Linked DNA regions of Oryctolagus cuniculus. The protein of the gene in region 2 interacts with the protein of the main gene of each other region in a pairwise test. Links are inferred from orthologs where the notes say so. Each region holds a gene or a part of one and is shown on either strand. Other genes may lie near its edges.

Region 1 (4,450 bases), on a different chromosome or scaffold from region 2:
ATGAGCAAAAAATCAGAAGTCTGGGCTGGGAGGACCCAGCAGAACTAAGCATGCACACTGCCCAGGGGGTGGGGGTGGGGGTGAGGGTGAGGGCAGTGACATCATCACCTGGCTGCAAGGGTGGAGAAGGCTCCTCCCTGTGGCTCCCACGTGGCTTTGCCCCAAGCAGTCTCACCTCGTGGAGTTTGTCAGCCTTCTGGGTCTGCTTCTTCCGACTTCTCTGAGCAGCAACTCGGTTTTTTTCTCTCCTTCGCACCTTCCTGTCATCATCCTCAGGGCTCTGGGGAGTGAGGGGGGTAGGGAGAGACATTCGGTGAGGTTTGAAGTTGAGACCCCTCACTCTGCCCTCTCTTTGCTCAGCGCTGTTCACTGGGCTCCACCACGGTAGGAGTATTTGCAATCAACATCCGTGTTCATTGCTACCCCATTGGGCTCAGGGTTGAGGACCACTCCCTGGGGGCCATGCCACCTACCCTGAAAAATGGGGTGTGACCGCCATCTAAAAAGATGAGGAATAAGAAACCCAGACAGGTTAAGGAACTTGCTGCAGGTACCAGCTAGTGAGTGAGGGAGTAGGAAGTGGAACTCAGGTCTGTTAGTCTCCAAACCACCGTTGGCAAACCTCTACCCCACAGGGCGTGTGCCTGGAAGAGCTGTGGTGTCAGTGCTGCCGGGGCAGACTGGGAAAGCTAGGGGCATAGCTGTGTGGAGCTTGCTGGACGCCAGCCCTCACGCGGCCAGGCCGAGCAGGTCCTCGGGAGAGTGGCTGCAGGCCGCGCTTACACTCGCACCTGACGGCAAACACGTGACGCCACCAACACGCCAAGCGATCTGAAGTGCCCTGGCAACGTGCTCATTTGAACAATGTGTGGCTGACATTGCTTCAGAGGTTACAGTGAATCAGAAAGCAAAGTTATGATGTGTCCTGAAAACTCTTAGCTTCACACGAGATCTGAGCCAAACTTAGTCAACTCCTTCAAGGGGGAATCGTGAAACAGGGAGACCGAAAAACGGAGCTACTGCACAAAAACTCTGCAGCCAGTTACAGAAATCATGGAAAAGAAGAGCAGTATTTGCTTTCCAGAGCCCAGTGAGAAGATATCAAGGGAAACACACACACACACACACACACACACACACAAACCTTCTTTCTAAAGAGTCTAAAAACCAAGAGGTTAGTGGGGTTGCAAACACAGAAAGCTACTCAATTATTCATGGAAAGCAAATAACACAAACTAATGGATATTTTAAGTTATCTTATCTGGCCTTGCATTCCAAATAAGACAGGCACATATCATCTCCCCAACTTCCAGTAGGAAAGAAGTCCCAGCATATGCAAAAATATAAAGATATAAAAGGAGAAGAATAAATAGTTTACATTATAATAGAATAGAGACAGGTGTAACAAGGTAATCTTGTAGAGAGGCCAAGAAGTCTTGCTAAAGACACGCAGACCGTCAAGGATCCTGGCTTTGTCTCTTACTGTCAGATGGCCTGGAGTAAATGACCGAACTTCTCTGAGTTTTCCGTTCCCGACTGTGATTCATTCATTCTTTCGGAGCACCTGCAGGTGTGCTAGGCACTGCCTATGCGGTGGGGACACAATTCCTGAACAGATGTTGGTGCTCCCCGCTGCCTTCGGCCAACAGCCTGGCGCTGGGGGCTGGCACCGGACACAGCGAGATTCTATCCTGAAGCTCCCGTGGGCACGCAGCCTGCTCTCCTGAAGCTACCTGCCCTAACCGAGGCTGCTGTTTTTAATTGAATCTTCACAGTGCTTTTCACTAAATCATGCCTCTGGGAGCTGACACGCTAAACTGGATTTATTACCTATCAGGGATGCGTGTCACACCTGCCCGCCCGGCAGAACTACTTAAGGCAGAAAGAGGGGAGTACAATTTTGAGATGTTCCTATATGATGAAGCACGTCTCACTCAGTTTTCACAAAAAATCCTGGGAGGTCGACGTTATTCTACTCATTTCACAAATGGGGAAACCGAGGCACGGAGAGATTAAGCGAATTGCCGAGGCTGCTCAGCCTGGGTGGCGATGCCGAGGCCCAAAGGCGCCGGACACACACCGGGGAGAGAGCGCGAGAACCAGCCCCAACCGCCGCCAAGCGGAGCTGGGCGCTAAGGCTCCGAGGGGCCGTCCCCGCCGGCAGCCTAGTCCCAGTTTTCTGCGTGCACAGCTCTAAGTGCTGCTGGGGACGGCGCGGAGGACCGACTGGGAGCCGGCAGGGGGGGTAGGGGGACGAGGGGGTTCTACCAGAGCTGGGGGTGGAGTCTCCCCGCCGCGGCCCCCGCCCCACACCCCCAGGCTGACCCGTACCGCGTTCCCCATTCCAGCAGCCGCCAGAGGAGGGTGGGTGTTGGGAGTGGCTGGGGACGAGCCGCCCCTTTGGGTTGAAGGGCCCCTCCGGAAACGCCGGCTGCGGGGTGGTGGCCTTCGGCGGCGCCCGGACCGACGGCCCTGGGGCAGCGTGGACCCCACGTGCCAGGATGCGCGGGCAGTGCCCTGCCACAGTGGACGTCCGCTCCCTGCGGCCTTTCCACTCTCGGAGGACTCGGAGCCCTCCCAGGCGCGGCCGAAGCGCACGCCGGGACCCCCGGGCCATCGCCCCCACGCCCCTAGTCCCACTCGTCTCTGGCGCCGGCAGCGCCCTCCACCCGCGAGCCCCCGCGGCCCTCCCAGAGTCTCTCGCCCACTACCTGCGGCTGCTGCTGATGCCCCGGCGCCGCGACGCTCCTCTGCAGGACGCCGCCAGCGGCCGGGAGCCCCTGCGACATGCCGGGCGCTGGTGCAGCCGGCCCGCCCCGCGCGCAGCCCGGTGGAGGCGCGGCCCGGCCCGCGGCGCCCTGCACGCGGGGCCCGGGCTACGAGCGCCCTCCGACCGCCCGCATCGCCTCGCCCGCACCTGGCCGTCGGCTTGCGCCCCGCCCCCGCGGGCTTCCCGCTCTCCCGGCTCGCCGGCGCCGCGCGTCCGCCCGGGCTCCCCACCCCCGGGTCGCGGCCCGCGGTCCTTCCCGTCCCCAAGTGCGCCCCGCCTCCTTCTCCCACCTCCGCCCCGTTTCCTCCTCTCCCCGCCCTCTGCTGCGCCTCGGGGTCCCCAATCCCACCTCAGGCGCGGCTTTTCGCTGGGGCCCCGAAGTCACGTGGCGGCTCGGAAACCGAGGAGGGAACGCGACGCCCACCCGCGGGAGGCGACGCTGGGGTGGGTGGGGGTCGGGAGGCACAGCCTTGGGGGCACTCGGGGTGAGAAACGCAGCTGGGTGGTCGGGGGTGGTGGTTTTGTCTGCGCATTGCCTACGCCTCCCTGCCGCCCCCCAGCCCCGGCGGGAGTCGGGCTTTGGGGGCTCTCTCCGGGCACTCGGCCTTTGGGTCGCCACCGTCACTCGGTCCTCAGCCCAGGAGGCGCAGGCGCGGGGAGGGGCGGCAGCCTCACGCGTCGCGCCGCGCGCCCAGAGCGCGGGCGTTCCCGGGCCTTTCTGCGGGGAGCACCTGCCCTTTCTGTTCCCGGTCCTGCCGGGCTGCGGGAAGGAGCGAGGCGGGGCGGCCCCGAGCGTGGATTCCGTGAGCCGGAGCGTGGGCAGGGGCCACTGTCCTGGACGGGAACAGTGACGGCCGTCCCAGGGAGCGAATCCCACACGTTGGACAACGTCTCTGGCGACCGGATCAGGACTGTGGCCCCATCATCCTGAAGTCAGATGGACCAGAACCGTTTCCTTGTTCAAGATTGGAGCGGCAGGTGCCCTGCCTGTAGGTTTAAGATGTGTGGTTGCTGCCACACGCCCATGCCGCAGCGGGGACAGGGCAAAGGCAGGGCGTATTGCACCCCCCACCCCCAACCTGTCTGCCACTTAATAAGTGTTGAACGTGGTTCCAGCAAATAAAGAACGAGCGGTTACCGGCTTGAGGTCTGCGAGGAGTCAGCGCTGGGAAGGGAAGCGAGCCGCGACTCCGAGTGGGCGGGTGGGCAGGTCACAAATGCCTTCCCAGTGTAGTCGCTGAGGCCTTCAGGTTTGTGGGCAGCGGGGGGGATGGGGCACGAGAAATTCTGATTCCCAGGCCAGGGCACGTGACTGTCGGCCAGGATTTAAGACTCGTCTTCAAAGCCTTCAGAGCAGCAGGAAAGCCAGTGGGAAGTCCGGGAGAGCAGGGGAGCTGGGCGGTAGGGAAGAGGCGAGAGGGCGCAGGGCAGACGGGGACTGGGGGCGGGGGGGGGAATACTCTTTCAGATCCCTGTGTCGCACCCCGCGCAGGCCAGCACCTCGAACAGGTGCACACGATGTACCCAGCACAGCGCACCACATTATCTCAGGTGCTCGATAAAGCTATTGCGGGAGGTCAGCTGAGATCTCTAATTCTGGAAAAATTACACGGACTCAGAGAAGACAGGGGAACACTGGGTGAAGTGGTTGTAACATTCAGAAGCACTGTTATCTCCGAT
Region 2 (4,527 bases):
CTTTCCAGAAAAGCACCGACTGGCATTGCTAAAATGCATAAAGGTATCTCACCAAGACACTCTTAACAGGGATAAGGAATGCAGAAGCGGAACCATCCACCAGACTAGGTAGAAATGGCCTGAGTAGGGCAGATCAGGGACCAGGATTCTGTCGTCAGCAGGGGTCTCAGAAACAGGGCAAAGGGGCACTGGGACCTAAAGTCAAGTGATCAAGGGCTACTCTGAGCTCCAAGGGTTTTTCTCATCTAAAACCCAAAAGGGTTAGCAAAGAAAACGTCCCAGGCCGGGCCCAGATCCACATGTCAAGGTCTTCCAGCGCTGTTAGAAAAATCAGCTTAGCGCCTTCAGCTTGCTTTTGGCCGTGGCTTAGCTTTCCACACAGCCGTTCCAAGTGGGGCCTTTAAAAATTCTGCCCTCAAATCGAAGGTGGCTGCAGCCACACTCCGGGTGATATCACGAGACTCCCAGGGCGAGGCTCCCCTGCTTCCTCAGCATATGCCAGTGCCTGTTTTATAGGGGGGATTTACGATCCTTCCCTCAGTAGAGCGAGCCAAAGTTTTATAATATTCATTAAAAATCAGCACCACATGCAATAATACGGAATAGTGCCCTTACCCAAGGGGCCAAGTTATAGGTGTTTAGGGAAACGTGGCAGAGTTTCCTGGCCTCTCCACGGGTAAAGCTGCAGGCAGCAGCACTGCACTCACCCAACCTAATTTTACTGCAAGCCTATCTCTCCAGCCTGGGTCCCTAACGACTCTCTTAAAACTCTAACTACCAAGCTTTCTCCTGACGGGGCAGCCGCGCGATGGCCATAGGGGCAACACCCTGCAGCCTCCAGGGACAGGCTGGCAAGGTGGCTGGAGCTGGGGAGCTGGACTTGGAATTGAGCTTCGCACAGAGCGAGCGCTCTTTCCATAACCTGGCCGGGGGTGCTTAGACGTTCCTGGAATGGGGCAGGCCGAGGCGCTGCTGAAAAAGATCCAAACGTTAGCCTCGGTCGGGTGCTCCTCTCGGTCGGCCTGTCCCTAGGCAGAAGCAGGGGTCCGGTCAGCCCTGGGGGAAGTGGGAGGGAGAGGGGTGCGTGGAGCACCTTTTCGGGCTTGTCCAGGAAAAACGCGCAGACCACAGCCCAGCAGTCTCAGGTCTCGCTCCCGGGCCTGGAGGCAGTGCCCTGGGCTCTGGCCCCTCTCCCGCCCTGGCCTCCCCAAGCCCAAACCCCTAACCCTGCTCTTGCAAGGCCCTGCCAGCCGAGCGGGCAGCCCCGCCGGGAGCAGAGGGCTCTGCGGGCCGCACGGCCGCACAAAGCGGGGAGCTCGGCGCGCCCCCTCCCGCGAGCCGGCGGAGCGCGCGCCCGCCCCCGCCCCCGGAGCGCCATTCGCGGAGCGGCTTACGCTAGTCGCCGGGCGTACGGCGCCCCAGCGGCCGGGGAGGTGCGCTGCCCGGCTCCCGTAAAGTTATTGTGAATGGGGAGCGGGTGACGTCAGCGCCGAATGTCAACAATGTAGCGATTGAGAGTGTGGGCGTTCCAGGGAGAGCGCAAGCCGCGCGGCACGGAGCAAACACCGCCGAGCCGCCGCCGCCGCAGCAGCCGCCGCCGCCGCCGCCGCACAGCACAGCAGCGGCCGTGCACGCCCGGCTGCGGTCGCACCAGCGCTCCCGCTCCCGCCGCCGCGCCCTCGCCGCCCGCTCCCGCCGCCGCCCCGCTCTCGCCCTCTCCCTGGCCGCTTCTCGCCCCTCCCCTCCCCCTTCCCGGCGCACTCGGGGGCTGGGAACGAGCTGCCATGTGATGCGCGTCCCCTCTGCGAGCCTTCGGTGACCCCCCGAACCGCCCACCGCGCCGGCTGCTGGGACGGGGCTCGGGCCGGGCAGACGTGGGGACGAGGAGGCGGAAAGGACGCGAAGTTCTCCGGCGAGGTGAGTCCCCGGCCCCGGCGGGGCGGCGGGCGAGCATGCAGGGGGAACGGGTGCGCGGGGCAGGCGGGGAGGCGTGGGGAAGCGGAGCCGCGGCCGCCCTGCCCAGCGCCCCGCGCGCAGCCGCCCGCCCCGCGCCCTCCCGCTTTTATGGCATTTTCTAGGAACGGGAAGCGGGTGGGCGCCGCGGCGAACGGGCGCTCTGCCGCCTGGCTGTTTACGGCGGGCGAGGCGGCATTGTATTTTGCTCGCGTCGACGGGTGTTTTGGAACAGCAGGGGGAGGAGGAGCAGAGGGTAATAAGTCAGGCGCGGGAGGGCGGGTGGAGCGAAGCGCGCGGCCGCGGGAGCTGCCGCAGCTGTCAGACCCACGGCCCTGCCCCGGCCGGGCCAAGCCTGTGCCGCCCGGCCCCCCGGCCCGCGAGACCCGCGCCCAGCCGGGCTGCCGCCTCCCGGTCCGCGCCGCCGCTCCTTTGCGCTCAGCTGTCAGCCGCTGCCGGTGGCCCAGACCGCAGCCGCTGGCGGGAGATCCAAGCCCAAGTTTAGGCTCCCAGGAAAGGGGCAGGTTGGGGGCTTCGCGGCGCACACCTGAGTGGAATCTCTGCCTCCCGGGTTGTCGGAATGCGTCCCGCGGAGCTTAAACCTGGGGCTCGAGGCTCCTGCAGGGAAGCCTCGCACCTCCCTCTCCCGGGGTACTGCACGAAGCCTACGTGCAACGCACGCACACAGCCCCGGAGCTCCACCTGGGAATGTCGGTCGGGGAGACCCCGGCTCTCCAAATCGAGGCGCGCCGTGGGTCTCGGTTCTAGCTGCCTGTGCGGCCGGGCACTCTGGACAGGGCGGCGGGCGGCGCTCACGGGCTACCCCAGCTGCCCGCGAGCCGGGGACTCCAACTAGCATCTCGACCGCCTCGATCTGGATGGGGATTTGCAAGAACTCGGGCCGGGCCGGGCCGGGCCGGGCGCACGTGTCTGCCTCGGGGCTTGTGGCGCGCGGGTTGTCCCGCACCCTCTCGCTTGCAGGCGAGTTGGACAACTTGGAGGGGGGCGGAGTTCCCCGGGCGGCTAGTGTCCCGGCTGGTTTTGTCTGTGGCCCTCCTGGCCACTGCCGTCGCCGCGACCCGTGGCCGCCGGGGAACGAGGAGTCGAGGGCGCCCCCACCGCGAGACAGAGCCGCAGACGCCCCGCGGGCGCGCGGGTGGGGAGGCGCGGCGTCCCCCGGTGTTCACCTTCGCTGTCTGGTGCTACAGTCTCTCACTCTGTGAAGTTCATCTGTTGAGCGTATTTAACTAAAAAGGGTAATTACTTTAGATAAAAATCCTTTCCTGCCTGGTGGGAACCTTGGCGGAGATGATGCCTAATGAGATATTTTGCTTTTGTCTGTTTAGAGTAAAATTAGAGATGTTAACTCTGATAACGGTTTTCTCAGATCATTAAAATGTAACATGTAGGAAGGGCATGTTGGCTGCGAAGGCTGTGGCTGACGTGCTGAGCGTGGAGGGCTGCCACTCTCGTGGAGGGAAGGGGCGTCTCGCTTCAAATGGGAGCCCGCCCCACCCTCAGTCTCTAGCAGCTCGCAAGGGAAACGGCGTTTTTTTTTTTTTTTTTTTCATTCTTGCAGGTAATAATAAGCGTGAGTCAAAATGACATCTTGTTAGAATTAGTCTTTAGTCTGTAAGAGAGATTGCTAAATTACAGTGTTGCGTTCAGACTGCTCCAGTGAAAGGTCTGTCAGCATTTCCATTATAAATTCAGTTTTTCAGGAGTTTATAATTTCACCACAAAACTTTGAGTGGCTGCAATGTGTTTTTCCCTTCCAGGGTTCTGGTTTAAAAAAAAAAAAACACATGCATTGGCTACCCACCTCTGTCCTATTTGCTGTTGTTGAGACTTGAACATCTTTCAGATGGCACAGGGATTGGGGGGTGGGGAGGGATGGAGAAGAAGTGGGTCCCAGAAGTGGTTAAAAAAAAAAAAGCAACCATGGAATAAAGTAGTTTTGCTAGAATGTAACTTTATGTGTGCAGAGTAGTGTTTCCATTCTGGATTTTGGAAGGCTTCAGATTTGCTGTTTGGTGATCATACGTGTGTTGGGTGAATTCTGTCTATTCTGCAGGTAGACTGACATGCCAGTTGGGATCACAAGGAGAAACACTCTCCTCGTGTGTGTGTGTGTGTGTATGTGTGTGTCTGAACTCAAAATTTTTGAACACTCCTAGCAGTTACTTTTCAGTCCTTTTTACGTTGCATGCCAGGATCTGCCCTAGAGAAGAAGGGGTGAGGCAGAAAGGGAGGAGGTAGTGGAGACCCCCCTGATTCCCCTTCAATATTGCCAGAGCCTGAGAGGAAGCTATGTATTCGCTGGCTGTTGAATTATGCCCTTCGACTGGGTATCGCCCAGCAGTTCCCTTCCAGGTGCTCACCTCTGGCTGCTGGGTGAGGGGCTGAACTATTTGCACACTGCCTTGAAATTCCCTGGATGAAAGGCAGAGAATGAGTGCAAAGTATTGTTCCTCAGATATGGAATTTAATGATCCATTACAGTTCATCAGGAAAATGCACTTTGCAGTGATGGTAGGAAGCATTTCCACCTGATAGAGGGTAATAATAACTGCT

What was found.
Region 1: the proteins of BACH2 (region 2) and BATF3 interact in binary tests that used the Homo sapiens proteins (3 or more experiments, as listed by UniProt). The link is inferred for Oryctolagus cuniculus from reciprocal best matches to the Homo sapiens genes BACH2 and BATF3.

Annotation. Positions count from the first base shown.
Region 1 is NC_091444.1:27,153,140-27,157,589, forward strand, and holds the start of BATF3 (basic leucine zipper transcriptional factor ATF-like 3), read right to left. Parts: upstream 3,015-4,450; 5' UTR 2,790-3,014; coding exon 2,712-2,789; intron 281-2,711; coding exon 176-280; intron 1-175. UniProt on the Homo sapiens protein: AP-1 family transcription factor that controls the differentiation of CD8(+) thymic conventional dendritic cells in the immune system.
Region 2 is NC_091436.1:82,212,569-82,217,095, forward strand, and holds the start of BACH2 (transcription regulator protein BACH2), read left to right. Parts: upstream 1-1,521; 5' UTR 1,522-1,917; intron 1,918-4,527. UniProt on the Homo sapiens protein: Transcriptional regulator that acts as a repressor or activator. Binds to Maf recognition elements (MARE). Plays an important role in coordinating transcription activation and repression by MAFK.